Linked DNA regions of Pelodiscus sinensis. The protein of the gene in region 1 interacts with the protein of each later gene in a pairwise test. Links are inferred from orthologs where the notes say so. Each region holds a gene or a part of one and is shown on either strand. Other genes may lie near its edges.

The links.
Region 2: the proteins of CEP63 (region 1) and CCNI interact in a two-hybrid assay, tested with the Homo sapiens proteins (2 studies listed by BioGRID and IntAct). The link is inferred for Pelodiscus sinensis from reciprocal best matches to the Homo sapiens genes CEP63 and CCNI.
Region 3: the proteins of CEP63 (region 1) and EZH2 interact in binary tests that used the Homo sapiens proteins (3 or more experiments, as listed by UniProt). The two-hybrid records come from large-scale screens. The link is inferred for Pelodiscus sinensis from reciprocal best matches to the Homo sapiens genes CEP63 and EZH2.
Region 4: the proteins of CEP63 (region 1) and SPTBN1 interact in a two-hybrid assay, tested with the Homo sapiens proteins (2 studies listed by BioGRID and IntAct). The link is inferred for Pelodiscus sinensis from reciprocal best matches to the Homo sapiens genes CEP63 and SPTBN1.

Annotation. Positions count from the first base shown.
Region 1 is NC_134720.1:1,059,307-1,066,906, forward strand, and holds the start of CEP63 (centrosomal protein of 63 kDa), read left to right. Parts: upstream 1-4,596; 5' UTR 4,597-4,877; intron 4,878-7,600. Other genes in the region: ANAPC13 (anaphase-promoting complex subunit 13), read right to left, coding at 695-820, 3,212-3,310. UniProt on the Homo sapiens protein: Required for normal spindle assembly.
Region 2 is NC_134715.1:8,573,131-8,580,735, reverse strand, and holds the start of CCNI (cyclin-I), read left to right. Parts: upstream 1-4,600; 5' UTR 4,601-4,860; intron 4,861-7,605.
Region 3 is NC_134712.1:160,849,570-160,857,189, forward strand, and holds the start of EZH2 (histone-lysine N-methyltransferase EZH2), read left to right. Parts: upstream 1-4,609; 5' UTR 4,610-5,146; intron 5,147-6,754; 5' UTR 6,755-6,782; coding exon 6,783-6,820; intron 6,821-7,620. UniProt on the Homo sapiens protein: Polycomb group (PcG) protein. Catalytic subunit of the PRC2/EED-EZH2 complex, which methylates 'Lys-9' (H3K9me) and 'Lys-27' (H3K27me) of histone H3, leading to transcriptional repression of the affected target gene.
Region 4 is NC_134713.1:175,365,019-175,373,005, forward strand, and holds the start of SPTBN1 (spectrin beta chain, non-erythrocytic 1), read left to right. Parts: upstream 1-4,981; 5' UTR 4,982-5,130; intron 5,131-5,319; exon of another isoform or gene 5,320-5,343; intron 5,344-5,654; exon of another isoform or gene 5,655-5,792; intron 5,793-6,246; exon of another isoform or gene 6,247-6,270; intron 6,271-7,987. UniProt on the Homo sapiens protein: Fodrin, which seems to be involved in secretion, interacts with calmodulin in a calcium-dependent manner and is thus candidate for the calcium-dependent movement of the cytoskeleton at the membrane.

The DNA.
Region 1 (7,600 bases):
GTGTTCTTTTACAGTATGCAGGTTAGCAAACATACCACAGGATGTCAGCATTGGGAATGTGCTCCAACCAGAATCGGCAATCTCCTAGGCTGCTTTCTTTATAAAGAATTTCTTTTCCCATCGTCATTTGTGTCTACAGACAAATTTCAATTCCTTAATCTCCTGTTCATTAACCTTTTTCTCTGTCCTTCCTGTGTCAGGCTAGTTAAAGGCTGTAAAAGTTGGTTGGTAGTTGCTTTCTAACTCTAACAGTAGCTCCCAAATATAAAAGAATAGCTTTCGGTCTATAAAACATCAAAGCCACCACAAAAATTCACCAAATCACTTCTGAGATCAATGATCAGTTTTCAGGTAGTGATAACTACCTCTCTGATCATACACAAAAAGCAATTAAGATTAAACGAACTGGCACCAACTTATAAAGAAGTTGTCAACAGGACTCCAGAATTTTTTGCATTTGTGAAAAAGCACTCGGCCACCTCCTCTCAGTTTTAGGGTATGTCATAGTTATTTTACATCAGTCACATGGGGCCTTTTAAACTGTAATGTGCTTTTGTGGAATACAACAGCTGTTTGAGACCAGAAGGTTTTTTAAAAGTTTTGACTCGTTAAAGCAGTGAGACAGGAGATGGTGAGGATCTGCTGGAAACCGTCTTCTTGCATTGAAATCATTCCATGAAATAACACTGATTTACTAGTTTCCTGTTGGGGGAACATTCTCATGAAGATATTGCAAAGCCAAGTCTGTCCATTTCATTTCTTGTTCTTTTACGGACTCTGTTGTACCACCATTGTCTTGTTCTGGTTCAGGAAGTTCGTTCTGAGAACACAAAAGGGGCAATGCATTCTATACCTTCAAAGCACCCTGACAAGATCAGCTTAGCATCATTTCATACTGGTACATGCACACATCTGCAACTAAGGCTGAAGGGAGCATCAGAAGAGCATGTACTGTACATACTGCTTCCACTAAAAATATCAACAAATCCAAATATGGGCATTCCATTTCCACAAGAATTCTGTACTTCGTTTTAGGAGTTGATTTCCTAACTTGACGGCTGGCTGACCCAAGCGTACACAGCAAAATAAATGATTGTAATGTCTGGTAAACATAGAATAAGTAGATATCAACGCAAATAGTTTATTGCCTGTGTGCAACCTTTTTCTCCCATAATAAAGTCCAAATATGTAAGTATTCTATGTCCGAATTTTAAATAAGGCATTCTCTCAAATCTCTCTTTTCTGTCATACAGAAGGTAACAAAGAGCAAAATAAGCAGCACTCTGTCTGGAATTTGAGGTCAATGGCTCTAAAGAGGCGAGGCTGTGCTAGTGCCATACAGAACACTGGAAAGCACTCCCGAGGTGCTTTTGCCTTAGGAACAGAAAACTGATGAGTCTACAGCTTGTCAGGATGAGCAATAGCGTAACTGTTTTGTTTTTCTCTTAACCATCTTTCTCTGCGAGTGCTATCATAACTGTGCAGTTGCTAGACTATGCGTAATTCCCCAGAATATCATCTCGTTCCTGGGTCTTGGCATCCTAGCGAGAGACAAAAGAGCTCCCCAAACTCTAGGAATTTGTTCACGGAGGATCTGATCTAAAGCTTGCTGAAGCCAATGGGAGTTTTTTCATTGTTTTCAATGGGCTTCAGCTCAGACTCTGAAGGCAGTAGCAGCAGTTAGGGCTCAAGCTACTGGTGGTCACCTACTGCCCATTGCTCTAAGCACCACCCACTTTTTAGTCAGCTCCTTCTTGACTTGGGAATGAAGGAATATCCCAAAGCTGCCATTCTGGTTTTTAGCTTGCCAACAGCCAATCCTATGTCAATGGCTCAGGTCTCATGGGGTCTTTAGGTCCACACTCAGGCCTTTTCTACTGTTAGTATGAGCATCTGCAGGGCAAGCCCAGGAAACCTCAGAAGTATGCTGTAAGGAACTCTTCCTCCACTCTGGGCATGCGCCTCAGTCTCCAAGAGTAGTTACATAGTTCCTCCCTCCACCCACTACCCAAAAAGGAGTGACGCTATCTAGTTAATTGACCATAAGATGAAACAAGTACCAGCACTGAAGAGGTTTCTGTATTCAGCCAGCTTAACGAGGCACATCCCAATAAACTCCAACAGGTAGGAGAGTTTGGGCTTCCAGAACTTAAAAAGAGAACCACAGTTCCGCACGGTGGAGATCGGATCATTCCCTAACGCTGGAGTACACCTGCAGAGGCTAAGTGAAGATAGTGAGTTGCTATGCATATGTCTGTGATAGGAGACTAATTCCCTTCAAGTAATCTTCTCACAAACTTTGTCTAATGTAAGAATAAAGAGAGGCTTGAAGGTTTTGAGTATGCAAACGTGGGAGGGAAGAAATCTAGCAGGATGAGTGGCCTACAATTTGGAAGTCCATCACTACTCTAAGAAGGGATCTTTGCAAAAGGTGATGCAGGTACAAAAGCCTGAAGTACATACACTCCGTGAGCAAAAATCATGGCTGGCTGAGAAGTGTCTCAACATGAAAGGCAGCCTGTCAAAATAGAGTGGACGAGGAAGGGCTTTATCCAGTTAATTAAGGAGAAAATCTCAAGATTTATCAGGCTTAAATGAGACGTTTCCGTTAATAACAAGGCTGTATCTATGCCTAGAGACAAGGGGCTGTGAAGATCCGGGTGTGCTATCAAGTAATCTGTGACAGATCAAAGATAGTTGCTAAGTGGACCTAGGAGTTTTCCCTTCTTCACTCTTGGCTAGCAGTACTGGAAGTATATAAGTGAAGGGGAAGTCTTTGGGTCCTCCCCTCTCCACTCGGGCCAGCAGCATAGCACTTGAAAAAGCTGAGGAAGAGGTTAGTCCTGGAACCCGCTCCTCACAGACTGGTGGTACTAGGAGTATGAGGGGAGGATAGAAAGAAACATTCCACCCTCCAAAGAAACAGGTAGCTCGCCTAGATTATGGGAAAGCATTTTCTCCTTCCAAAGCGAGGCAGTCAGCTGCAGGGAGAGAAGCACTTATTCCTCCACCAAGCCGGAGATATGCAGAGCTGGAAGAAATCCACCACCCCGCATAAAATAAATGGGAAGCTGGCCCCTGGAGTGAGGGAGCATCATTCATACAACTGTCAGAACTGTAAGGCACATTTCCTATGCCATGCCTCTGTTAGGAGGTTAAAGGGGGTAGACACATAATATAGGCTTATAAGCAGCTTACTGTGTTCACCTACCAAAGGTATTGCTACATCCTCGTATGGTAATTTATCTTCTCTCCATGCATCATCGATCAAATCCAGGATTCTTCCATCCCTCTGCACTTCACTGTCCATCTTTGCACAATTTACATGCAGATAGATCTGCGACATAAAGCAGAAATTATCCTTGATATCTAGAACCCAAAAAGATGGAGCTTAGATTCTATGCTTGCCCTGGCCATGACTCCTTTCTTAAATAGCTTAATGGCTGTTTTACAGTCAGTAGGGCATGGCACAGTTGTTTTTCATAGTTATTAATACCCTCCATTGTTTGTATTGCCCTATGAGACGCATGAACATGTTTCTTTTCCTACCAATTCAGTTTTTGTCCATGCAACAAACTAGCACATGTACGTGGCTTTGCTCAGGTTCCTAAGGTGTTCAGGGCAGGGAACTGGGAAAGTGGGGTGGGTAAGAGTCAGAGTGGGAGGGTAGGGAGGGGATCTGGCCAGGGGACTGTGGTGTGTGTGTGTGTGTAGCGGGGTAAGCAAAGAGGCTGAAGCTCCTTGAGTTTTGTACCAGGGTCACTTGCTCTTCCTCTTCTTGTCCCTGCCAGAGAACGAGAGCAAAGTGCACAGCTCGTCTGCCCCGTCCTCCCCAGCCAGAGGGAGGAATGCAGCACACTGTGCACTTTCCCCGTGCTCCCCAAAGGGAGCCAGCAATGTCCTCGTATTAATCTGGGGGAAGATGCGCCTCCCCTTGCCCTCCCTAACAGGTGTCTGCGGGGTAGGGCTGGGACCTGCCTGGTGATTCTCTCTCTTCTCAGTACGGTGGTATGAGAGTCAATCCCATTCCAGGCGCATCCCATTGTCCTGCACAACCCGCCCCTGCCCTTGCTTTAAGCTGTGCTCAGTGGAAGCGGCGTCCTGGCTTCGCTGGCCCTCGCTCTCACGCTGTAGAAACAGACAGACTCTCTCAGACCTGTGGCCGATTGTTTCCCTGCCTGTTCAGAAAGGGGCTGACATCGCCTCCCACGGGTGACGGGCCACGGCCCGGCCCCACCGCAAACACCTGTTGTGTCCCCGGCGGTGTCGGCCCCACACAGGCGAAGGCCGGCTGTGCTCCTGCGCCCAGGGCACCCCCCGCAGTGACCCCTCAGAGCATCTCCAGCGCACCCCCCGCACCAGCGCTGCGCAGCTACCCGGTCGCCATGGAGACGCCCCGCCCAGGGGCGGGGCACCGCCCGCCAGGCTCCGCCCCGCCGGGCATGCGCAGTAGCAACCCGGCACAGCGTCCCCTCCCCCACCCGCCTCCGGGCCCGGGGAGCAGCCCCCCCGCGCGGGGCTGAGGGGCCCCAGCAGGGGGCCGGGGCGGGGGCAGCCCTTCCCCCCCCACCGCGCGGGCCGGCCCCTCCCGCCTCTGGGCCTAGCCCCGCACCTGACACCCGGCGCGCGCGCCAGCCCCGTCCCGCCCCGCGGCCCTAGCAGCGGACCACGTGACCGGCGACTCTAGGCCGCGCCAACCATAGAGAGGCGGCGGCGCGAGTCCGCCGAGGAGAGAGAGGCCGGCCCGGAGGTAACGGCTCGGCGGGGGCGTGTCCTGGGTCGGACTGTGCCCGCCGTGAGGCGCTCACCCTCACCCTGTCTGACTGTGCCTGGCGGACAAGGGGCTGTCGCCTGTGCGGCGCTGGCTGTCTGCTGAGGTGACTGGAGGCGGGGCTCTGACTGTTGTTGGCCTTGTCTGACTGTCCCTGGGTGGCTGTAGCTTTTTGTCCGGCTGTGAGCCCGTGGCTGTTCCTGTGGGGCTGGGTCAGACTGTACCCTGCTGTGAAGCTCTCGCCCTTTCTGTGTGGCGAGGTGACTGTAGCCGGGGGTTGGCCGCCGTGTCTGACTGTCCCTGGGTGACCAGGGGACTGTAGCCTTTTGTCTGTCTGTGAGCCCGTGGCTGTTCCTGTGGGGCTGGGTCAGACTGTACCCTGCTGTGAAGCTCTCACTCTTTCTGTGTGGCGAGGTGTCTGTAGCCGGGGGTTGGCCGCCGTGTCTGACTGTCCCTGGCAGACAAGGGGCTGTCGCCTGCTGCCCGCCTGTGCGGTGCTGTTTATAGAATCATAGAATACTAGGGCTGGAAGGGACCTCGAGAGTCATCGAGTCCAGTCCCCTGCCCTCATGGCAGGACCCAGTACTGTCTAGACCATCCCTGATATTATTGCTGTCTGTCTGTCTGTCTGCCTGGTGAGGTGACTGTAGATGGGGGTCTGACTGTGGCTGGCCTTGTCTGACTGTTCCTGGGTGACGAGGGGACTGTAGCCTTTTGTCCGTCTGTGAGCCCGTGACAGTTCCTGTGGGGCTGGGTCACACTGGGTCAATGTCTGACTTTACCTGGCTGTGAGTCTGTGTGATGAGGTGACTGTAGCCTGGAGTCTGGCTGTGGCTGTTCATGCAAGGCTCTGTGCCCCCACCCCACTGGGGCTGTATCTTCACTGCAGGGATGTGGGGAAGGCACATGTTTCAACACCTTAGGACTGGAATTTGCACCTTTATCACAAAACGTGTTGATGAGTAAGTCTATAAACTGTGCTTTGGGTGCCCTTGTCACCCTGGAACTGCAGGTATTTCTGTGGGCCCCAAATTATGAACAAAAACTGAATTGGTAGGAAAAGAATGTTGTGTTCAGACTATGGACAAACCCCCCAAGAACCTGGGAAGTTCCCTTACTGGTAGAGACACCTTTTCAGTCCATCTTCCATCTAGTCTGGTCTCTGACAGTGCCTGATACCAGATGCAAAACTCCATAGTGCACTAAGTTGTGCAACAGTAGCACTTAAGTCATTTTCAGCACTGGTTCAGGAAGGCTCAGTGCAGGCAGTGTTTCAGAGTAACAGTTCAATATCCCAGTAGTATCTGGGACTTTTAAAGACTTACTTTCTGCCTTGGGTTTGACTTAAAAGTTGAGCTTGGTTTTGTTAATTTTGGATACTAGGGGGCTGAGCTTGGTTTTGTTAATTTTGGATACTAGGGGGCTGAGCATTCTCAGTGGAGAGGCTGTGGGTTCCTCCATGCTTGGCCCAGTTAGCTGACTTTAGGGGTACGGATGTTAGATAGTGATTAATTGATTAGTCGTGTAACTGCATCAAATTTTAGTAGTTACACAACTATTTGATTGTCCCCGGGGGCAGGGTCAGCAGCCAGTGTGCTCCGGCCCCACTCACGGGGCGCCCTCCTGCTGCCCCACGCTGTTCCTTCTCTATCGGAGGCAGCAGCATGGGGTGGCAGGCGGGAGCTGGTCTGTGAGGGGAGCCGATTTAAAAATTGGCTCTCGATGCAGATCAGCTCCCACCTGTTGCCTTGCGCTGCTGCCTTTGATACAGCAGAGGTTTATCGATTAATCATGTATTCGGCTACATGTTGACATCCCTATTTCAGGGCACATTTCAGAACCTGCTTTAATAATTGCCATTGTAAGGTCCGATGTCTTGCACTTCAGGAGATCTAGAAATGAAGTCTATTTTATGGCCTTGGAAAGTTGGGAGACACCCTCCCTCTTTTCAGTGGTAAAACTTTCAAAGGAGGAATGCAGAAGTGCCTATCGAGTAGTTGATGGAAATTCCGTCGACTACTCAACTAGTAAATTAATCATTATTTAACATCCTTAGTGTACACGGACACATTCCATTATTCTGAATATCATCCTGTGTACTCAAGCCTAAAATTCACTTCAGCGATGCTTCTTGCACTTACAGTTGGGGTTATACTTAAGCATTTTATTGAATGCTTAATATCTGACGCTGCTTTAGCAGCTGTCGTCTTGTATTGTTAAAGCATTAATTTTTAGCTTTATGCCTTCTGCAAGCTTGGAAGTGCACTCTGTAGTTTTGTAAAATGTCTGCTACTAGAACCATATCAAGTGTCAGAAAAGAAAAAAACAAGCAATATGATACAGTGATGTAATTATAAGGTCCAGTAGCTCGTTACCTTTCAAAGCTAGAAACACCTGTGGCAGGTCAATACAAATGCTTTCAGCATCAATACACTTTTCTAAGCACAAATCCAGGACCACTTCAGGAGATGGGGGGTAGAGGAGGGAAAGATGCTTGAAGGCTCTTTTCTATCTGTCATTGAAAAACTAGGGCTGCGTCTAGACTGGCATGATTTTGCGGAAATACTTTTAACAGAAAAGTTTTTCTGATAAAAGTATTTCCGCAAAAGTGCGTCTAGATTGGCACGGATGCTTTTGCGCAAAAAGTGTTTTTGTGCAAAAGCATCCGTTGTCAGTCTAGACGCGATTTTGTGCAAGTAAGCCCCGATCGCCATTTTAGCCATCGGGGCTTTTTTGCGTAAAACAGTTCTTCCCTGTCTACACTGGCCGTCTTGCACAAGTATTTTTGCGCAAGAGGGCTTTTTCCCGAGCGGGAGCGTGAAAGTATTT
Region 2 (7,605 bases), on another chromosome or scaffold:
ATACACCCCTAGATTGTTCCTATAACTAAATCATAGTCAAAAAGTCTCAGAGAGCTAGTTGTGTTAGTCTGTGCCTTTAAAAACAACGAATACTCCTGTGGCACCTTAGAAAATAACAAAAATATATATAGTATCATGGGCTTTCGTGGGCAAGACCAGCTCGTCTGAAGAAGTGGGTTTTGCCCACAGAAGCTCATGATACTATATATTTTTGTTAGTCTCTAAGGTGCCACAGGACTACTCATTTTTAAATCATCGTCAGACTTTTAGGCCACGTCTTCACTGCAGAGTTTTTGCGCAAAAACTTGTGGAGCGTCCACACTACACGTGCTTTTTTGTGCAAGAAAAAGTACAGTAGAGCATCAGAAGTCAGGGCTTTTTGCGCAAGAGTTATTCCTCTTTCTACGAGGAATAAGCCTTTTTGCGCAAGAGCTCTTGCACAAAAAGGCAAGTGTGGACGGACAAAAGAAACCCCTATTGGAAAAAGCACAGGTGCTCTGATAGCCACTCTGTGAATGGCCATCAGAGCTTTCTTGCGCAAGAGCGTCGATGGCAGTGTGGACGCTCGTGCGCAAAAGGCCATCTCTTGCACAAAAGCACATGGCAGTGTGGACGTGCTATTGAGCAAGAACTTTTTGTGGAAGATCTCTTCCGCAAAAAGTTCTTGCGCAAGAAGCCTGCAGTATAGACATAGCCCCCCTGTGTAGGTCTCGTTGAAAGAAATGTGGTGTCTTTCTGATGTTCCTAAGTGGGGAGGGGTTTAAAGATAAAAATCCTAAAGCTTAAGAGTGTGATACTTGATAGGAGGGGAATTATACTTAGAGACTGAGGGTAGTGGAGAGGAGGCTGTTGTCACACATTTCCTGAGTAGAAAAAGAGATCAGATTGGCTAAAGCAGGGGAGGTACTGCCGAGGGACTCCTTCCCCAGTGACTCCCTGCCATCTCTTCCGTTATGTTCCCCTGCCCTTATGCTCCAGTCCCATTGTTTCCACATATGTTGCTCTCTTTCCTCCCTTCTCCCATCTCCTAACCCATCTGCCACCTACTTCTCTCCCCACCTCCTGTCATCCCTGCTCTCTGCTGTTTTCTTCCTCTGCCTCCTCCAGCTGGCCACTGCAGAACATGCGCAGTGAGGCCTCCCCAGAATGGAGGAGGGGGAGGAAGGAAAGATGAGATTCATCATAACACAGAGAGCTGATCCTTCCGCCAAGCAGTGAAAGGAAAACCAAGTCCCTTTTAAACAACATATTTGTGAAAGATTGGAACAGAAAAAGCGCTCAGCGCTCGTAACTCACCCTCTGCACGGTGCACATTACATACACTGCTATATTCATAAAGTTAGTTAGGATTTAAATATTAAAATCAACCTTTTACTCATCCTCTTAACTGACAAGTAGTGTTTGTGAGGGACTGATACAGTATTTGTTTTTAAATGATCATGAACATTATTTTAAGGATATGTAAGAAGATTTCATGTTTAGGCTGACCGATTTATATAGACTGTAAATAGAATGTTCTGCATATCCATCAATATGTCACCACTATTTATCTCCTGTTTAAAAGCAGATAGCCCTGCTATGAGATGTTTTATTCCCTATACTCAAAAGTATATGTGTGTCCTTGCTAGACACCCATTGATGTGTCCCTGTTCCATGTATTCCTTATGTCCATAGATGAGTTTTAGGGAGACAAGGAGGGTGAGGTAATATTTTATTGGACCAAAAGAAACAAGCTGTCGATCTTACACAGAGCTCTTATTCAGGCCTGGGCAATGTGCTCAGTGTCACAGCTAAATACAAGGTGGAACAGACTGATTAGCATAAGTAGCTAACACATGGTTCAAGGGATCATTTAAGGTGAAGTGGCCCATTGCAGTCCCAACAACACTGCATACATCGGTAGGGTTAGCATGTACAAACTGACCTACATTTTTCAAAAGTCATTAGAGATTTTGGATGCCAACCAAAGACACCTTAAATGAGCCTGATTTTTAAGAGGGCATGCGCTTGTTACTTTCTGAAAATAAAGCCTCATTATTATTTTTTTTAATTTCAGTAGTACCCAGGCACCTTAATTACTATCACTCCATTGTACCAAATGCTAAATTGGGCACCCAAAACTAGTAATGTGTGGTGGTATAAAATATATACTATATGTATGGCATACATTTCCTTCCCTGTGATAGGCCTTTGGGCACATGCATAGGACATGTTCTGGCATTATAGGATGCCCAAAATATAAGAAACACATGAATCTTTTTATCTACATAAAGAACACACAACTCCACTATGTACAGCAGCCTACACTTCCAAAAGTGACTAATGATTTTGGATGCCCAAAGAGAGGCATCTTGGTGGCACCCGATTTCAAATCATGATGCCTGACAGGTGTCTCAAATTGGACACACAAAAGCACTAATACCTTTTGGAAAAAATAGCAGTACACAGTGTGGCTGCGTCTACACTCATGGCTTCTTGCACGAGAAATATGCAAATGAGGCTAGGCGTGGACTATCGCCAAGCCTCGTTTGCATACCTAATGAGCCGCCATTTTTGCAGAAGAGACTCTTGCGCCCGAGAGAGCTATCTACACTGCCCCTTCTTAGGCAAGAAAACCCCTCTTGCGCAATGCCGCTACGCCGATTATTTTCAGGAAGAATGGCATTGCGTAAGAGGGGTTTTCTTGCGCAAGAAGAGGCAGTGTAGACAGCTCATTCTGGCGCAAGAGCCTCTTCTGCAAAAATGGCGGCTCCTTAGGTATGCAAACGAGGCTCGGCGATATTCCACGCTTAGCCTCATTTGCATATTTCTCACGCAAGAAGCCGTGAGTGTAGACATAGCCTGTGTGTGTAGGTGAGTGGATACACTGTGTTAGGGTCACACTCATGCATTATATAGATGTCTGTAGAGCACATATGTGTACGCAGTGTAAGTAACGAATATATGCATGCATTATATAGATGACTCCTGGGCATGCATTTAATGTGTTTATATCAATGACAGTGGTTCTCAACCTGTAGGTTAATCAGCACCCAGCTGTGGCCCAGCTGACAGCCTCGAGGCCATACAAATGTAGTGTATATGTATATGTATGTGGCCAGGTCCATGGCCAGGTCCATCCAAAACATGCAGCCACGTGGGGCACTGTGAAATTTGGGGCACCAAAATTTCATAGTGCCCTAAGAGTTGTATATGGTGTCCAGTGGGCCCTGTCCCCATTCCCTGCTACCCTTCCTCCCACAGGCAGTGCTCAGCCACTACTCACCAAGTGGCGGCAAAGGGAGCAGGGGACAGCCATGTGGCTGGAGAGAAGTTGCAGTTTCACCTTCAGGGTACGTCTAAACTCACCGTCGACGGAGGCATGTAGATTAGACAGATCGGCAGAGGGAAATGAAGCCGCGATTAAAATAATCGCGGCTTCATTGAAATTTAAATGGCTGCCCCACTCTGCTGATCAGCTGTTTGTCGGCAGATCGGGGCAGTCTGGACGCGCCGCGTTGACAAAGAAGCCTTTCTTGATCGGCACAGGTAAACCTGGTTTCACGAGGCATACCTGTGCCGATCAAGAAAGGCTTCTTTGTCGACGTGGCGCATCCAGACTGCCCTGATCTGCCGACAAACAGCTGATCGGCAGAGCGGGGCAGCCATTTAAATTTAAATGAAGCCGCGATTATTTTAATCGCGGCTTCATTTCCCTCTGCCAATCTGTCTAATCTACATGCCTCCATCGACGGAGGCATGTAGTTTAGACGTACCCTTAGAGTGCTGCTTCTCTCCTGCCAGTGGTCTGGCCACTCTCCTCCTTCTCCTGAACCCTTCGGTCCACACTTGTGTTGCTCCCCACTGCCCACACCGGAAACACCGCCACCCATTGCAGCAAATGGTGTCTGATCCAGGAGAACTGGCAACCCTCTAGAAGACCCTTCACAGCTTCTGCCCCCGGAGCTCCACTGCAGAGGGGCTGGCTTCCCCCTGGAGCAGGATGGGTGCAGGTGTTGGGCTGTGACAGCCCCTGCAGGCCCCTGGGCAAGGTGTGTGTGTGGGGAACAGGCTGCACGCTCCTGGAAGGGGTGGGGTCTTGGGTGGAAAGGGTGGCATTGGGGGCACCCAGCCCTCCCAGTGGTTTAAAGTGCACCATGCCAGCCCCCAGGCAGCTCAGCACCCCCCCCCCCCCAGTCCATAGCAGACCAGTCGCCACCACTGCCCCAGTACAAGGGGTGACATGGTGCAAAGGGGCAGCTGTTCCCAGGACAACTGCCCCTTTTGCCCCCTGTGTGGGGGCTGGCAGGTAGGGCGCCAGGGCTGGCAGGGGCAACACACAACACACCCCGGGGTGCAGACGAGTGAGAAACTGAGGGTAGGGGCTGGGCACAGCCTGGCTGGGGGGGGGGGGGGTGCCCACAGGGAACCCTGCCTCGCGGGGGGGGGGGGAACACGTTCTGAGAGGAACGCGCGGGGGGGGGGGGGAGAACACGTTCTGAGAGGCACGCGCGGGGGGGGGGGGGAGAGAACACGTTCTGAGAGGCACGCGCGCGGGGGGGGGTTGTCCCGCGCGAGGGGCGGGGCCAGCTGCCGGCCCTTCTTTCCCGCCCTGCGGCCCGGGCCGCGGCTGGCTCGCTCGCGCCGTCCTCCCCTCCGCGCGCGCGCCTCTCCCCGCCCCTCCCGCAGCGCGTCTCAGCCCCGGGGGCGGCGGGAAGGCGGGCGCCCGCCATGGAGCCCTGAGTCCCGCGGGCAGCAGCCGCCGCCTGGAGCATGGCCCGGCACGGGCGCTAGCGGCCTCCCAGCAGCGCCCGGCGCCGCGCCGCCAGCATGGGGTGCTGATGGGCCGCAGCCCCGACCGGCAACCCCGCGGCAGGGGAGGTGAGTGGCTCGTCCCCACCGGGCCGGGCGCCTTTGTGCGGCTGCAGCGGGCAGCGGGCATGCTCGGGGGGGCGGGTTATGCAACGCCGCCGTGGACAGCGTGCAGCCGGGGATAGCCTGCGAGAGCCGGCCGTCCTCGTGCATGCGTCCCGGCGGGCGGGCGCTCCCCTGCGGCGCTGCAAGGGGCATGCTGGCGGCGTATGGAGGTATTTGTGCTTGCAAACAGCGCGGGCCTGTGTGGCTGTTGACATAGGGAATGCATGCAGCGGGTATGTGGCTGGGAGTAGCATGCATGCCGAGATCCTGGTCTGTTGCAGGATACAGTATCTAGTATTGTTTGGCGATGTAAATCCGCAGTACCCCTATGTCTGTGTGTAGTGTGTGTGTGTGTCTATTGTGTTTGTCTATTGTGTTTACTTCCGTGTTTACAGTATGCACTCACATCCATGTTACAGTTTGTGTAGGTCTTTTTTTTGCAATAATCCTATCTATATCTATATCTATATCTATATCTATATCTATATCTATATCTATATCTATATCTATATCTATATCTATATATCCATTGATTTGTATTGACTGTCAAATGCAATAAAGAAATTAACTGGGTGTATTTCAGTTTGCGTGCAAGTATGCATGCTTTTATCCTCTCTTCCGGTGTGTCACGTTTCTAAATAATCCCGTGTCTGACCAGTCCTGCAAGATATAGGCCAGTCCTGAAAGGTGCTTAGCATCCTCCTCTCCTGCGGGAAACTGAGGGCCCCTAATATGGACTCTTTATTTCTAGGTCCCCAATCTTGAAATAAACTCTGATTTGGAGTACTCTTGCACCTGTGTGGTGTTCCAGTGCAGCCATTAGGACTCCATGGAGGTTCAGGGGGCTACCTGGGCAGAATTCATTTTTGGCATTGGGGGCTTTGATGTTCTAAATCTTGTTCAAACTGGCATAATTCCACTTTATTTGTACCCACTTCTCAGTCCTGTAATTTTACTGCAGATAGGGTATCAAGTATTTCTTGTGCTTTAGCTCTTGTTTTTGTCCATATGATCAGTTGTCCCTAATTCTTTCTGTCTTAGATTGATTACTCTCTAGCAAAAATATGCTTTAAAATACAACTGTGCTATATTTTAAACTCCTGATCTGACTCTAAAATTGTGCAGTCAGGTTTCTTGGATGCTGTTGGTTTTTGTTTGGTGGTTCTTGGTTGGTACCATCAGTTGCAGTGATGGGGACCCCCCATGGAGAGTGTTTTCTTGAAAGATGACTGAATTACTCATGATGTTGTTTCTTGTAATCCTGTCCTAGAAGGGATGAGAGAAACAGATAATGTTGCCCTAGGTTATTTCATGCTAGTGGTTTAAAGAAGCCTTTGCAAAAATTCTCATGATAATTTGCTACCTTAGGCAAAAAATCCATTTCCCCACCTCTTACCCTAATGTTGGAAAACAAAATTAATGATGCTTTATTGCCTGTTTTAAAAAAAAAAATGATTAGTTGCCCTGGGCAGGCAGGATTAATATGGCTGACTTAAACAGTTGCTTTTCAGCTGCTGTGTAGCTCACAATGCCCCTTTCCCTGCATCTCTGACATAGGCACAGTGTTTTGAATTTTTTTAAAAACCCCTATGTATTTAAATTGCACAGAAATCTCTCCGGTTACGTGGTTCTAGTCTTCCCCCTCAAGCTTGGCTAATGTTTTTACTGTCATAGAGTGATGAGTCTGTAGGCTTTTGCAACCTTTAGATTAGTTTATTGCAGTGCTTTATTTACAATTACCTCAGGGATACTTGTATATGGCACTAGGTTTTGTAAGGTATAGCTAGTAGAAGTTTAGCTCTGGGAAAGCAACCACAATATCTTATTCCAGACTTGGGGAAATCTTCTTTGGATTGCTGCCAACAATTATATTTGCTTTTAAAATTGTTCATATGCTTTGAAAATGTGGTGCACAGTTCTGTGCCTTGTTCCGACCTGCTCTGTCTGGAAAAACTGTGGGTTTGAGCTCTGCAGAGCTAATCTGTTGGGAAAGCCAATAGGCGTTGAAACGTTTTGGTGTGTGCACTTTTAATTGCTCTGCACCTCAAATTTGGAATGTTCTCTTAGCTGGGGTTTGGAAGGCCTCATTAAAAGACTCTTCTTAATCTGTTCCTTGTATATTCTTATAGATTCTTGCTTTTTGTGTGTTTGGGATCTAATTTAAAACACCTTCTGAGACATTTGCATGAAATGTTTCTCTGCTAGTATAAATCTATTGGGTTGCTTAAATGCCCTTTCCAAAAATATATTGCACTGTAGCTATTTGAAGAAGTATAGATTGCTCTGCTGCAAGTTAGGGGCTGCTACTCTGTGTCTGTTCCAGCAACTGCTGGAGTACACGCTGGTGAAGGCCTTCAGGGTGGAAAGTCTGTGGGAAGGGAAATAACGCCACAAAACACCTAGGAGTTCCCTTATATTGGGGTGCTGCTTGTCTGGGATGGGGCCAGGCCAAGATGACTCCAGGATATGCACCTTGGGGGGTCTCACAGCAGCAGTTGCTGTTCATGGAGTTTGGGGTGGACATTACAGATTAAAGCAATATCTTATATCCACCTCCTAACAACTGGTAGGAACCATGAAAGAGGAGGGTTGTGGCAATCACACCCTCTCTCCTCTTTTGGGGTGAATCTCTGTGGAGCTTTGCTGGCAGCTAGAGGTTTAATATTGTATACTCTTTGGGCTAGCAAATAACTTTGTTCTGTGTTTGTA
Region 3 (7,620 bases), on another chromosome or scaffold:
AAGTCTATTTAAGGAAAGGAAAGCTATTGGTCTTTGGCTGGCCTTTGAAACTGCCTCATCCACGAGAGGGGACACACATGAAGAAATCTGAAAACAAAGAATTCTCAAGAACTCTAAGAAGCTGTAGACCAGGGATACTCAACTTTGGAAGCCCAGGAGCCACAATGATACTCACAGCACATGCCGAGAGCCGCAATTTAAGTGTGGTTGCATATACATGCAAATATATATGCAAACGTGCAAATAGCTTCTATCAGACTAATGGGCATGAATACAAAGCACTTCCCACAATGCCCTAGTGCTCCCGGCACCTCCTCCTTGGGGGCTAGAAACACCGAAACCTTGTACCCATCTGTTCCAGCCAGCCTGTCTGTTTGCTTCTTTCAATGCTCACCCCACTTGGAAGGCACCTCGCCATTGTGGAGAGTGTTCCCAGTGGAGGCTGTGTTCAAAGGATCCCACCTGTGGGCCACATGTTGAGCCCCACATAAACCCAAACCACACCACAGGCTGCAAACAAACAGACTATGGGCCGCATGCAGGCCATGTGTTGAGTAGCCCTGCTGTAGTCCTAGGCCAGAGTAAAGATCAATTCTGGCTTGCACATTTTACCTGAGATAAGAAAACAACTGTTAGGGAAAGAGTCTGCATGTAACAAGTTTCTTAGTGGATTGAGGAAGGCTTCTATGTGGACCCTTACTAATGGTCACAACGATAATCTTGATTTCTACACTGACTGCTTTCGCAAACGTGCTTGAGCTGACATTGTCAGCAAACAACATATAACCACAGCCATGCAGAAAGCAATGCTATACACAACCTCAAAAATAATTCTAACATCATAATCAAAGAGGCTGACAAAGGGGGCCCTGTAGTCATCATGAACTGAACAGGAGGTGACCAGACAACTCATCAGCACCAAATTCTACAAGCCTCTCTCCTGTGTCTCACTAAAGAATTCCAAAAAAACCTGAAACAGCTGCTCATGAGACTCCCTTATGACCAAATTTATACTAACAACCCCCCCAATCCCTGACCAAGAGTCTTCTATCTGCTACCCAAGATACACAAGCCTGGAAATCCCAGACGACCCATCATCTTAAGCATTGGTACACTTACAACAGACCCTGTGCTACCAGCACTTCCTAGCTATCTTTGAGACACCACTGACTTCCTGAGGAAACTACAAAACATCAGTCATCTACCTGAAAATACCATCCTGGCCACCATGGACATAGAAGCTCTTTACACCAACATTCCACATGAAGATGGATTATAGGCTATATTCCCTGATTGCAACATTGCACACCTGGTTACAGAGCTCTGCAATTTTGTCCTCACCCACAACTACTTCCAGTTTGGAGACAATTTGTATCTTCAAGTCAGAGGTACAAACATGGGCACCCGATGGCACCACAATATGCCAATGTCTTTATGGCTGACCTTGAACATTTCCTTTGCTCTTGCCCCCCCAAGACCCTTACTCTACTTATGCTACATTGATAACATCTTCATCATATGGACCCATGGGAAAGAAACCCTTGAAGAATTTCACAGAGATTTCAACAGCTTCCATCCCACTATCAACCTTAGCCTGGATCAGTCCACACAAGAAATGCAGTTCCTTGACACAACAGTACTATTAAATGATGGACAAATTTCCACCACCCTATATCGGAAACCTACTGACCGCTACACTTACCTTCATGCCTCTACTCATCCATGTATTGTATACAGCCAAGCCCTCCGATACAACCGTATACAGCCAAGCCCTCCAATCCCACAGACAGAGACAAACACCTAGAGGATCTATATACAGCATTCTTAAAACTGACATACCCAACTGGTGAAGTGAAAAAAACAGATCAACAGAGCCAAAAAAGTACCCAGACATGAACTACTTCAAGACAGGCCCAGAAGAGAAAACAACAGCATTCCACTTATCACCTACAGTCCTCAACTTAAACCCTTCCAACACAGCATCAACAGTCTACAGCCTATCCTAGAAAATGACACCTCACTCTCAGAGGATGTTTGGATGCAGGAGTGCTCGGGGCTGGGGCAGGAGCTTGGGGTGTAGGAGATTCATGACTGGGATAGGGTTTCGGGATGTGGGCTCCAGCTGAGCACTGCTTACCTCAGGTGGCTCCTGGTTCATGGTGCAGTGGGGCTAAAGCAGGCTCACCCTTGCCCTGGCCTACTCCCTAAAGCAGCCAACAAACTGCATTCCAAGTCCTGTTGTGCCCCCTCTCTGCTTTGTGGAGAAAGGATACAGATTGGCAGGGGGTAGCTTGACATCTGCACCCCTTCTCTGCACAGAAAGCAGGAGGCTCCCCAGGGGGAGAGGCAGCTCTAAGGCAAAGGGCAGGAGATGAGCAGCAGTGAGGGGAGGAGCAGCTGAAGTGCCAGCACTTGATAGCCTCTTGGCCAAACCAGTCAGGGTCACATGTCAGAGGCTCCAAGATCTACAGGTAGATCCCGATCTCCAAGTTGGTGACCACTGAGATAAACAAACAATGGAACACAAGAAAACAATGAGACAGTGCTGGTTAATATGACTGGCTGTGATATCAGCATACCAACTACCTAATTCTATTTATTATATCTTAAAGGAGGGTGTTAAAAAAGGATTTCTAGTTTCACAGATTGCAAGGCCGCAGGTGTCCAGGCCATAGAACTTTCCCAAAATAATTCCTGGAGCATACTTACCATCTTTTAGAGAAACATTCAATCTTGGTTTTAAAATTGCCAGTGATACAGAATCTACCAAGAGCCTTGGTAAATTGTTCTAATGGTTAATTACCTTCACTGTTAAAAATTTCTAGTATGAATTTGTCTAGCTTTAACGTCCAGCCCTTGGATCATGTTATACCATTCTCTACTCATTTGAATAGCCCATTATCAAATATTTGTTGTTCCCTGTGTAGCTATTTATAGATTGTAACCAAGTCACCCCTTACTCTTCTCTTTGTTAAACTACACAGATAGATTCAAGGATAGCAATCATTTTAAGTCATGTTTTCTGATCCGTTAATCATTCTCATCTCTCCTCTGAACCTTGTCCAGTTTATTAATGTCCTTCTTTAAAGGAAAATGACGAGGTACCTGAACATTCTAGGGTTTGTTTGTTTTTTGCAAATAATGGGGGAGCCCAAACTTATAACTCAATGAGGTGGGGGGCTCAGCTCAAAAAGTTTAAAAAACTACTCATTGTTGGCAGATGGGCAGCTGACGAGCAAGTATCTGATCAGCAGTAAGACCAACTAGTACTGATGGGAGGGGAGAAACTGAAAATATGGGACAATTTGCCAATTTTAAAGAAAAAGTAGGAACACCTTCAAGGGGGCTTTTAGAGGACTGTCTCTTTGAAAATGGGACATCTGTTCATCTTAGTTATGAAAGGCCTACAAAATGAAATCAAGAAGCTTAAGTTTGTTGCAATGACAAAAGAGGAGCTGTAGCCAATGAGAGCTCTGGATGGTAATATCTGGGGGTGCAAGGTTAACCAGCCTTTTTGGCAGCCTGCTAGTGGCTTACCCCATAGGCCACACATATGCCCACCACTGGATTATAGTAGAGGGACACAAAAAAAGGCAGGGCTGGCAGTGGCAAAGTGCCTATTTAGGAAAATAATCTTCACTCAGTAATGGGGCAAGATTGTATTTGTCAAAGCCAGAGACAAGATGTTGCAGTAATTGAGACAGAAGTTGATGGGAACCTAGACTTTTTTAAAATTATCATAGAGTTTATGATAATCATGGACCAGACCCTTCTCCAAAGAGCATGTCAGGATGGATTGAAACTAAAGGTCTTATCTTGCAGATATGATGCAGAAAAAAAAAATCAGCTAGATTTAAATAATTTGGTCATCAATAAACTGGTGATCAATAATCTGGTCATCAGCCTTAACCTGCCCTCTCTAGATTCTCACAGCCTAGATGTGAGACTATAGAGATGGCAAATTAAATCAGACGGCCAGATTAAAAATCTGGTAGGGACAATAGCAACTTGACTATGGGTCGGCAATAGCATGAAGGAGATAGACCTAAAAGACACGATTGACCGGTGAGACAGAGCACATCTTGCTGGTGCTCTGATTTCCGTGGTTGTACGAGAGGAGTGGGTGGGCTGTGTTAGGGCTGCGGTTCCACACGCCTAGCCCGCAGCAGAGGAAAGGGATGTGGACGGACCCTGAAGCCAGAGAGGGGGCAGTTCTCTGTATGGCGGAGGCGAAGCACAGAGCACGCATGGTGGGGAGGGAGAAGGGCCCCTCCACGCCGGGCACGTTTCTGATCCGCCTGGCAATTTCCGTGCCCCGGGAGTCAGGGCAGCGATGCAGTTACTGACGCAAGCTGCGTGGGGAAGGTGGCAGGTCCCGGGCGGCGCTACAACCGGTTTAGCAGAGCCGGTTTGGGAACTCGTTCGGCGAAGCTAAGGCTGGGGGCGGGGCTGGGAACGAGGCAGGGCGGAGCGGGTCAAGGTCCGGACCGCTTGCCAGCCCGCCCGCCCGCGGGAAGCAACAGGCAAAGGGGAGGGATATTGAGTGGAGCCGGCTGAACCTTAGTCTCCGCCCAGAGCTGCCCGCGCGCGCTGGAGCCGCATGACAGTTAAAACCGTTACCGCTCCCACTTTCGAACTGATTCAAACTCAGCAGCGCCCAACAGCCTGGCCCCTCCCTTCCCGGGCTCCGCGGGCGCTTCCTCTTCCACCAACCCCCAAAGACTTCGCCGCCCGCAGCCGACGGGGACTTCAAGGCTCCCCCCATTGCCCGCGCGCGCCGCTACGGGCGCCCCAGGGGGGGGGGGGGCTGAGGGGCGCGCGAGGGGAGCACGGAACTCGCCAGGTCCCCAGCCAGCGCGAGAACAAAGAGCGCCCTTCCACCCCCTTCTTCTTTCCTCCCCCCCACACGTGGGGCGCGAACGCTCCGCCCCCGGCACCGCCTCTGGCCGAGGCGGATTGGCTCAGGCGGCCCCTCCACGTCCGTCCAATCGGGGCGGTGCTTGGTTCTCTCCAATGAGCGTGATGCCGATTGGGCCGCCGGGTTTGGCGCTCGGTCCGGGAGGGTGAATCCGGCGGCAGAGCGAAGCGGGGACCCGGAGGCGGCGGCGGCAGCGGCAGCAGCACCGGCGGGCGTTGGGGAGCGGGGGTGAGCGAGCGAGCGCGCGGGAACGGCTATTTCTAACCTGCGCCCTTTGTCCGGGGGGAGGTGGCGGGGGGATTATTGGGGGATTGAATGGGGGGGGGCAGCCGCGAGGAAACTCCCCCCCCCCAGCGGGAGAGGGCGGTGGGGCGCGCGGGGGAGCGGGCGGTGGCGGGGCGCGCGCTGCCGGCCGGTGACAGCTGGAGAGAGACACGGAGCGTGAAGCGCCCTTTGTCTAAGTTGGCTCTGCCCACCCCGGCGGAGGGGATCCCCTCCCCTGGACCGACCCGACTGAGACAAAGACGGGACTAGAGCCGAGGGCTTGGGACCCCTAACGAGGGCGGGCGCGAGGAGGAGCGCAGCTTGTCTCTTCCTTAAACCCAGTCCCCTCACTCCCCATTGATTGACTTCAGACTAGTGGCGGGTGCAGGAGCAGTTTGACTGTGGGGAACCCCCTCCCCCCCTCCCTCCCTTCCCCCGGTTACAAGGCAAACGAGGTTTTAAAACGCCTGATTGAAACGCGCAGCAAAACCCTTCGTTCCCCGAGAAGGAGGCGGGAAAAATTGAAATTACGCTCCCCACGCGGGGCGGGGGGCTCCTTGCTGCGGGGAGACGTTTAGGCACTTGGGCAGGTCTGCTTCAGTCTCATGTGTTCTTACATAGTCTCCCGGAAGCTGATGTTCCGTGCGGGGGCTGTTGAGCTGTCTCTGGGTTGTTCCTCCTTTTGCTGTTTCATACGAGTTGCTGTTTTGAGTCTCCCCTTACATTCCCCTTCTCTATGTATACGCAAATCTTGGGTGTAGCAGCAAAGGTGTTAAATGCAAAGGCAGTGGGGGCGTGTTACTGACAAACGTACCTGAAAGCAACTCGAGTGAACTTCCGAATTTCTAAAGTTCAGTACTGGGTCCCTGTCTTCCACAGCATTGCCTGGCTTTTCCCAAGTTCAGATAGGCTGAAGACTGTGATTCTAGAACAAAGTGTATTGAACATGAGCACACTTCAAAAAATATGTTTTTTATTGAGTCATTTTTGGTAGGTGTAAGGGGGTGGTGTTGGAGGAAGCTGCCTATTTATTCACACTGTAAGAGTCAACGAGTGGCTGGTAAATATGATGCAGTAAGACTGATGTGTAATCTGGTATTATTGTAGTGTTCAATGTTTAATAGTTGCCTGCAGGTGATTCAGAAGTTATTGGGAGTGAGAAGAAGAAAAGAAGCTTGTAGGTGTGTTTATGTAAATTAATTTGGATTTTGTTCAAGTAGCTTCTTTTCTAGTTCTGAAATACTATCCACATTGTTCTGGAGTGGAAACCATACAGCATTAGAAAGTTGGGAGTTCAGATTTCTTTTCTTTTCCCTCTCAGAAATGAAGACCTTGAAAGACTTCATTTTTAGATTTGTGTTTGCAAAATTCACCTTTTGTGCTATTCCACTGAATGGAGTTGTATAGGTTTACACCAGGATACAAATGTAAAGGGATCAGAAGTATGTATTGGGGATTCTATTGAATTTCTAACCTGGGATTTCGTTATCTAGTTTTAGAGAGTAATGCTCTAGAGTCTGAATGCAATTTGTAAGAGTTAATTAAAAGGCCACTCTTTCTGTTTATTCTAAGTGTCCATATCAAATTGGGAGCCCCTGGAATGTTTATTTGTGGTAACCAGAAAGCATGTTGTGAAGGGTGAGTACTTGTAAGCACTGTACTGTAAGTACTTTCAATTTGGTCTCTTAAAATGTGAATATTCAAGACCTGTTGATACCTCATGAGCAATCCTGCAATATAGCACTCTTATTTGGTTTTGTTTTCTTTATTATTTTAGTGTGGAATCTTGCATGTGAATAGGATATTAGAGAATATGTTAACTTTTTAATTCTATGTACTTTTTATTCACTCACCTAAAGAGACAATCCTCTGTTGCTTAGCTGTTTTGAAGATGTTTGAGACATTAAATAAAGGGTTATCTTTAAACGATGAGACAAATTCTTAGGAGACACCTCTTGTTTTCATGAAAATGTACCTAGTTATTGAAAGGCAGTGGTGGAAGTGTCTACATAAACATTTTTTTAAAGCTTCCCATGAGGTGTCAACAATTATTTTGTCTTAAAACTATGCCATATTCAATAGTCACTAGTTTAGGTTGACCGCAATCTGCAGGATTTGGGTTTGTCACAGGGATATTAAAAGATAACTGCTTCAAAAAGTGACTTTGTGGAACTCTTTGTCACTGACAGGCAAATCAAATGAGCTGTTATTTTTATATATATCTTTAACTTAGTCCTGTAAATTGAAGCTGGGAATTTGAAGGTTAAGTTGTTTTCTTTTCTGCTTCTCATTGGAACTACTGAAGACTTCAAGTGGAATTTAGTTAGCAATGTTGACAATAGAAAATAGTTCTCTTCAATAAGAAACAGAGGACTGAAATATAGTAATCATTACATATAATCAGCATATATATGGGATTTAAAGGCCCTTACTGTTGC
Region 4 (7,987 bases), on another chromosome or scaffold:
CATCATTCTCCAGCACTTTCTCACATAGTGCATGCACAGTGAATGTTTGCTCCACCCATATTTGAACTATGTGTGTTGAAATAAAATCTTGAAATATACTGGACGCTCTTACCCACTCTCTTTCATAGATTACACACTTGTTCTTTTGCACTGCCTATTTGCTTGGGAGCTATTCATAGTGGGCTATTAAAATTTAAATATTTTACCCTTTAAACCAAGGATGGACAATAATTTTTTATGGGGGTGGGCACTTTTGGAAAGTGGTCAAGGGCTACACTCTTCCATTATATTAATGGAGGCGGTGCGGGGTGTGGGATGCAGGTTGGATGCAGCAGGGAACTTGGGGTAAGGGACCGGGATGCAGGAGGAGGTGGGGGTTCTGGGAGGGAGTTTGGGTTAAGCAGGTGGTTGTGATTTAGGGCAGGTGATTGGGGTGCAGGGGTTTGAGTTGTTACCTTGGGCAGGGGATTGGGATGCAGTGTCTGGGAGGGGGCATGAGTTCAGGAGGGGGATGGAGGGTTTGGCTTATATAGGGTAGGGGGGTAGGAGTGAGGGGAAAGAGGGTTGGGGAAAGGGAGAGATTAGGGTGCCAGAGGCAATCTCTGGCTGGCAGGCCACTAAAAGTGAAAATCACAGACTCTTACACACAGATTTTACATGTTTATCATTATAACCTATACATTGCATATAAAATGGGCCGTAACCTAAGGAACTGTTGCCCTGAGCCTCAAAGATATTTAGGCTTTCAAAATTCATTTAAATAAATGGAAGTTAGGAGTGTAAATACTTTTGAAGATCTATATCAGTATAGTAGAGGAACAGTGGTCAAGCTGGTAATATGATACTTAGGCTATGTCTACACTGCAAGGTTTTTGTGCAAAAACGGGCAGAGCATCCATATATCAAGTATGTTTTTGTGCAAAAAAACCCAACAAAACAGTAAATCGACAGGATGGAGGGCTTTTATTATTCTTCTCCCCATGAGGAATAACTCCTTTTTGCGCTACAGCTCTTGTGCAAAAAGGCATGTGTGGACGCTCCGCAGGGGTTTTTTGCACAAAAAGAGCCTATCAGAAAAAGAGCCCGATGGTCACTCTGTTAATGGCAGTCAGAGCTTTCTTGCACAAGAGCATCCATGCACCGTGAACGCTCTCTTGCGCAAAAGCTGTATAAGCATTAGTGAATGCCTTTTATTTTACTTTCCAGTGTCAGCAAATATTGTATTAGTCATGCTCTCCTTAAGAACGTAAGAAAGGCCATACTGGGTCAAACCAAAGGTCCATCCAGATCAGTACCCTGTCTGCCGACAGTGGCCAATGCCAGGTGTCCCAGAGGGAGTGAATCGAACAGGTAATGATCAAGCGATCTCTCTCCTGCCATCCATCTCCACCATCTGACAAACAGAGACACCATTCCTTACCCATACTGGCTAATAGCCATTAATGGACTTAACCTCCATGAATGTATCTAGTTCTCTTTTAAACCCTGTTATAGTCCTCGCCTTCACAGCCTCCTCTGGCAAGGAGTTCTACAGGTTGACTACGCGCTGTGTGAAGAAGAACTTTCGCTTATTAGTTTAAAACCTGCTACCCATTAATTTCATTTGGTGTCCTCTAGTTCTTCTAATATGGAAACTAATAAATAACTTTTCTTTATTCATCTTTTCCACGCCACACATGATTTTATATACCTCAATCATATCCCCCTAATCTCTTCTTTTCTAAACTGAAAAGTCCCAGTCGCTTTAGCCTCTCTTCATATAGAACCTGTTCCAAACCCCTAATCATTTTAGTTGCCCTTTTCTGAACCCTTTCCAAGGCCAAAATATCTTTTCGAGGTGAGGAGGCCACATCTGTACACAGTATTCAAGATGTGGGCATACCATAGTTTTATACAGGGGGAGTAAGGGTATGTCTACACTACCCCGCTAGTTCGAACTAGCGTGGGTAATGTAGTCATCCGCAGTTGTAAATGAAGCCCGGGATTTGAATTTCCCGGGCTTCATTTGCATGAAGCCGGCCGGCGCCATTTTTAAATGCTGGCTAGTTCGGACCCCGTGGTGTACAGCTAGTTCGGATTAGAAGCCTAATCCGAACTAGCTAGTCCGTGTAGCCACGCGGCACGGGGTCCGAACTAGCCGGCATTTAAAAATGGCGCCGGCCGGCTTCATGCAAATGAAGCCCGGGAAATTCAAATCCCGGGCTTCATTTGCAACTGCGGATGACTACATTACCCCCGCTAGTTCGAACTAGCAGGGTAGTGTAGACATACCCTAAGATATTCTGTGTCTTATTTTCTATCCCTTTCTTAATAATTCCTAACATCCTATTTGCCTTTTTGACCGCTGCTGCACACTGTGTGGAAGTTTTCAGAGAACTATCAACGATAACTCCAAGATCTCTTTCCTGATTTGTCGTAGCCAAATTAGCCGCCATCATACTGTATGTATAGGGGTTATTTTTTCCAACGTGCATTACTTTACACTTATCCACTTTAAATTTCATTTGCCATTTTGTTGCCCACTCAGTTTGGTGAGATCTTTTTGAAGTTCTTCACAGTCTGTTCCTGTCTTGACTATCTTGAACAGTTTAGTATCATCTGCAAACTTTTACTTTTCTCTTCTGTAGAATTTTCACATTGAGTCAAATTCTGTCAACCTTACTCAGGTTGACTAGAATTTTACTTCGCAGGTATTCCTATTGATTTCAGTGTGATTAGAAGGGGGGTGCAGTTTTATTTGGCATGCAGAAAGGTGACAAAACTTGGCACCTAAATTGTACAATTTATTTTACTTTATTTCCTTTCATGATATATATAAACTTCTAAAATGCTCTTTGTTCCATGTGACCTATTTTTTGTTAGAATCTGACTTCCAGCCTTTCATGATTTGCTCATGATCAGACACAAGGTGACTTCTTTCAAAACACAAAATTCTATTCAATGAGAAAAAAAGAATGCTTAGCTGTAGCTGTTGTGACTAGGAATAGCAAGAGACGAATTCCTGCTTCTTTCATCCATTCATGATGAAAAAGAAGTTGAAGTGAAATCTTCATTTGTTCATCATCTGATATTCCACTCTGTGTCAAAAATTTCTGTTCTGTCCTTATTTCATAGCAGCCCCATGGCTGGTAGTGCCTCACTCCACTCAACTGTTGATGTTGTCATAATGATCAGGCAGATTGTGAGCTAAAATTTCTGCTTTTTATGAAAAAAAAAGGATCATTTTATTGGTAACTCATATTTCTCTTTGCCTATTTTATGTCTGTTGTTTCTTGTCCCACACTTGGCTTGTTAAATCTCTGGGACAGGAATGGTCTTCTGAATATGTGTTTATACAGTTCATATCATAACAAGGCTTTCACCCCTGACTGGGGCCCTGACATACCAGTGTTGCTGCAAATAAAAAATACTTAGATTTTATACAAAGTATTGTACTCTAGTTGTTATAAATTATGCCCAGGTCACCACAGTTCCTTCCCCCCATTGTTTGAGGGGTGGGACCCAGAGCTCCTGCTCTGCACAGGTGATCAGGTATTTTTCTCCACTCCAGTTCCACACCTAAGAAGCTCAGCTCTCCAGCTGGGTCTGGATAGCCCACTCTTCTGGGGTTGGAACAGAACAAAAGAAGAATTAATACAAGTGAATATTCCCCAAACAGGGTAAAGGCTATCTTCCTTCTGGGGCTGTTCAGCAGGCTGCAGCCCTAAGCAGAGTTCCCAACTAAATAGAGGGGACTGATCTCTTCCTGCATGCCAGGGAGAGTCAGCCTCAGGTTATTTTCCTTCCTTCCAGAAGGGGCCAGTGGGCAGTGGCCATTCTAGGATCTCCTGCCTTTAAGTGATCTCCTCTCCCGGCACTGGAGACTGAAAGTCAACACTCTCTCCATATGTGCCAGAGCCAAGTGCCTTTTAAGCTCTTTACTCTGTTTTTTGCATCTCTCCCAGCTGTGATGGGGCAGGACCAGCTGAGTCTCTCTGGCTTGCTAACTCTGTGTTGCCCAGAGTAGGGTGCACATCACACAGCTTTTGAGGGGGAAAATGTCCAGTTTATCCCAAACGGAGGAGCCTTGTGGTTTATGACAAAGGTAATTTCTGTTGGGGTCAGACTACTAAACTCCTTCTCAGTGGGGAAAGTAACTTACAATTACTGTCCTTTTGCAATGGGGGTGGCTGACAGCTCTTTAGATAGCTCCACTGCTGGCTTTTGCCACAGCTCAGCCAGCTGTGGCTGGAGCTGTGCACCAGGGTGCACCTGCTTACTTTCACCTCTGCTCCTTCCACTTGTGGGAGAGTTGGTGAGCCTTAACCACACATCTCCCCAGGCACAAGCTATTGCACAGAGCTGCTGGGCCCTAGTCCCTCTGCTGACCACTCGTCTATAGAAAAGCAAATACCCACAGGCTGCTCCTCTGCAGGCAGTTAAGGCAGTTCTCCGCCGCCATCCCAGCAGCCACACAAAGCTGGTGAGGATGCCTACTCACCACCCAAGAGGGAGATGCGCAAAACTGCGGCCCTCCTATCCGTGCCTAGGGCCCACACAGTAAACCCTCGATGCCAAAGCATCTCTCTGAAACCCAGTGTTGCAATGGCGCTGATTACATTACCGTTCAGTGCCGGGTGACCTCCGCCCCTGCTAGGGATGCCAATGCACAGACTGTATCCCGGAGCAGCAGCAGCCCCACGCCTGCCCCTCCGCCTCCATGTCAGGCAGGTTGCAAAACGCGCGTGTGCCCGGGTCTGCTCGCATCGCGGCCCAGGAGGAGCGGGAGGCCAGCGCCCAGCCGGCACTGGGGTGCGTGTCGCTCCGCCCGCCCGCCGGGGCTCAAGCAGGGCGAGGGGCTTGCTTGGGTGCGGGGGGGGGGAGGACACGAGGGAGGAGGGCGCTTGCGTCCCCCTCCCTCTGCCGCCCGGGCGCGGGGCGGGGGTGCGCGCGCTCTCCCCGCCCCCTGGCTGCCGGCTCGGCGCAGCTGTCGCGGTGCAGGCGGGCTGGCTGCGGATTGCTCCAGTCCCCTCCCTTTCACTCCAGCCACTGCCCGGAGCTGCCAGCCCCGGCCACGGCTGCGGCATCTCCCCCTCAGCGCTGCGGAGCCTTGCGCGCGCCGGCACGGGAGCGGCACCCCGGCCCCGCGAGGTAGGGGGGTCTCGGTGCATGCGGACAGCAGGGCACAGGCTCGCTCCCCTCTCCGCCAGAGGAGGCGTCCTGCCCCTCCCCAGGGGCTGCAGGGGGCATGGCAAAGGCAGGGGGCTGACACCTCCCCACGGCAGGGGCGCAAGGAGGGGACCGCGCCCGGGCAGGGTGTGGGGGATTGCGGAGAAAGGGGGAGACGGCCTCGGATGCACCAGGGTGAGGCTCCCTTTGCAGGAGGGGGGGGGGGGCAGCGAGCAGGGCTGCCAGGGAGATGGCGGTGTGGGTGCGGGCGGCGCGCCCCCAGCGCGGGCACAGCCTCCATCATTGTGTTGCAGCGGGATTATTGTGCCTGCTCCCGGGCACTGCTGCCGCTGCCGGGTTTGTGCGTGGGCACGGGGAGGAACGGTCCAGCCGTGAATGGGGGTATCGACGTGGGGGGGGGGGGGCGAATGACAGCAGGAAGCTTAATCCCCCCCCCTTCCCTTCGCTCCCCACCCCACCCCGAGCCTGGGAGCCTGCCATAGGTGGCTGCCTGTAGCGGTACACGGGATGCAAACAGGCGCGGCCGGGAGCCTCTCCCCCGCCCTTCTGTCGTTCTGGGCTGGGCGTTCAGCAGGCGTCCGGGCAGTTCCCCTCGCCCCTTTCCTCATCCAGGACCGCAACAGGTTTGTGCTGTAGGGCGGGGTGCGGATCTGCCAGGGTCCCCGCTGTCCGGTTAGCGGGAGGGGGCTGGATCGCGGCAATCGTGCTTTTCCCGTCGTGCAAAACCCAAACCGGACCCAGTCCGTGTATCTGTCAGCATTGGTCTGTCGTGTTTGCCCGGGTGCAGTAGTTCTCTTGGGGAAGCGTGTGCCAGTCATTCGTGCCTGTGTTTTCGTTACTGGGATGGCTCTCCCTGCCCTTATGCCCGAGGAGAAATGATGCAGCACAATGCAGTGATCTAGCAACCTTTAGTCGGGGTTTTCCGGCTATATTTTGTATGATTCCCTTGTCAAAACCCCACCCAACAGGAAATCGGGATTGTGTTTTTTTTCCGCTCGGAGACAAACGCAATCACGGCCCAACCATTCTACCCGCTTGCCTTTTATGTTGGTGGTTTGTGACTCCGATCCGTGTGTTGCAGCGGCGGTGCGGGTGGCAATTGTGCGTTCCGAGCGAGGTTTTATTTGTTTTTGTTTTTTGCTTGCTCTTGGTTTCTGTAATGAAGGGGGAGTTATGCGATTGCAGTTCTGCAGCTCTAATGCGGTCTGATGGAGTCCAGCCTGCGGCTGTAGAACATTAATCTGATACTACAAAAGTAGCAGCATTAGGGAGGGGTTAGAGGAAGAATGTTATTGTAAATGAGAGGAAACGGTGCGTATTTATATTGTAGCAGATAGGCACCTACTGTTCATGCACCCTTTAAACACAGACTGTATGTAAATCAGAGGGATATATTCAAAGTGGTTCTTATAAAGTGCCCTTTCATATTATGCGGGAATGCACATTAGACCACCTGGTATTTTTTTACCTTTTACTTGAAACGTATTCGTGTTATCATCACCATTAAATGTTTAAATTCTAATACTGTACTTTCCAAAAGTGGTGTAAAGATATTTTCTGCTCTTTGAAATGGATTGCACTTCAGTCTCCCTTTAAATGAAATCTACAGTCCTTGGTCTGGATTTTTTCCAATTTCATTAGTCTTCTTTCATATTATTACCAGGTGCTTTTTATATTTACAGAAGAAACATTTGTTTTATTTTTTATTGTTTTATTTGTTTTATTAAATTCCTGACTTTTTACATGATTAGCCATATAAAGTTACAACTAATTGGTTATAAGGCTTTGGATTAATTTTTTAAATAGGCTGACAGTTTTGTGGACCTGAAATGCAGATATTACTAAAGGGAACCCACAGCTGGAATGGCACAATACATGAACTTGAATCCATTGGGTCTTCCAGATCAACAGAGTAGTTTGATATCTACAGGCCTATTTTAACAAACAAACAAAAAAATCTGCAGGACTGCAGTGTCTCCGAAATATCCATCCATAGCAGTGGAAAGTGGCCTTTTAAAATTATTTTAAGTCACCTTGATTTTAAACATAGATTCTTTGATTTTGAAGCATATGAAACATTAATCTATTTCAAGACTTAACTTGAGTGCAAAAATGGAGTGAGCAATTGAATGTAGCATAAATTCCATTCTAGTCCTCTAGTTGTGGGGAAATTTGCATCCTTATATTAGGAAAAGTGGCAGGGGGAGTGGAAAAGAAAAGATATTTCTTTCTACATTATGTCTACACAGGATTCTGTGCTTTCACTGTGTGATTGTCCATAGACATAGATTTTGTATGATCAGTATCAAAACTAAAATTCTTGTAAATGGAAAATAAACTACTAAGATTTGAGATTTCTTCAAGCATTAAGTACAAGGGTTTGTTAATAGAGCTAGGTGACTAATTTTTTATTGTTTCTGGCCTGTGAGTGAAATCATGTTTTGCATTAAGACATCTTGGAGACACTATTCCCAATAGTCCTGAAGATGATCTAGGTAGCTGGTGTTTATTAAAGAAATATCATCAGTGTGGAAGTGCCACAGGAGATTTAGCCATTTTGACTTGTCATCCTGTGTGCAAAACTCCCAGCCAGAAAAAAACACTTGAACATACCATGAAGCATCTAGAGCAGTCATATATACCATTGTGAGCTGCATATGTAACTCTCTGTGTTATGGGGGCTGCATCCATACAATCTGTATATTACCTTTATGACCCTGAGGATGGCACACACATAGGTCACAGCTGTGAGCCCATTGGGCTGCAAGCAGCCTACAGACTGAGAATGCTACTATAGAGAGAAAGATACAAGTTTATG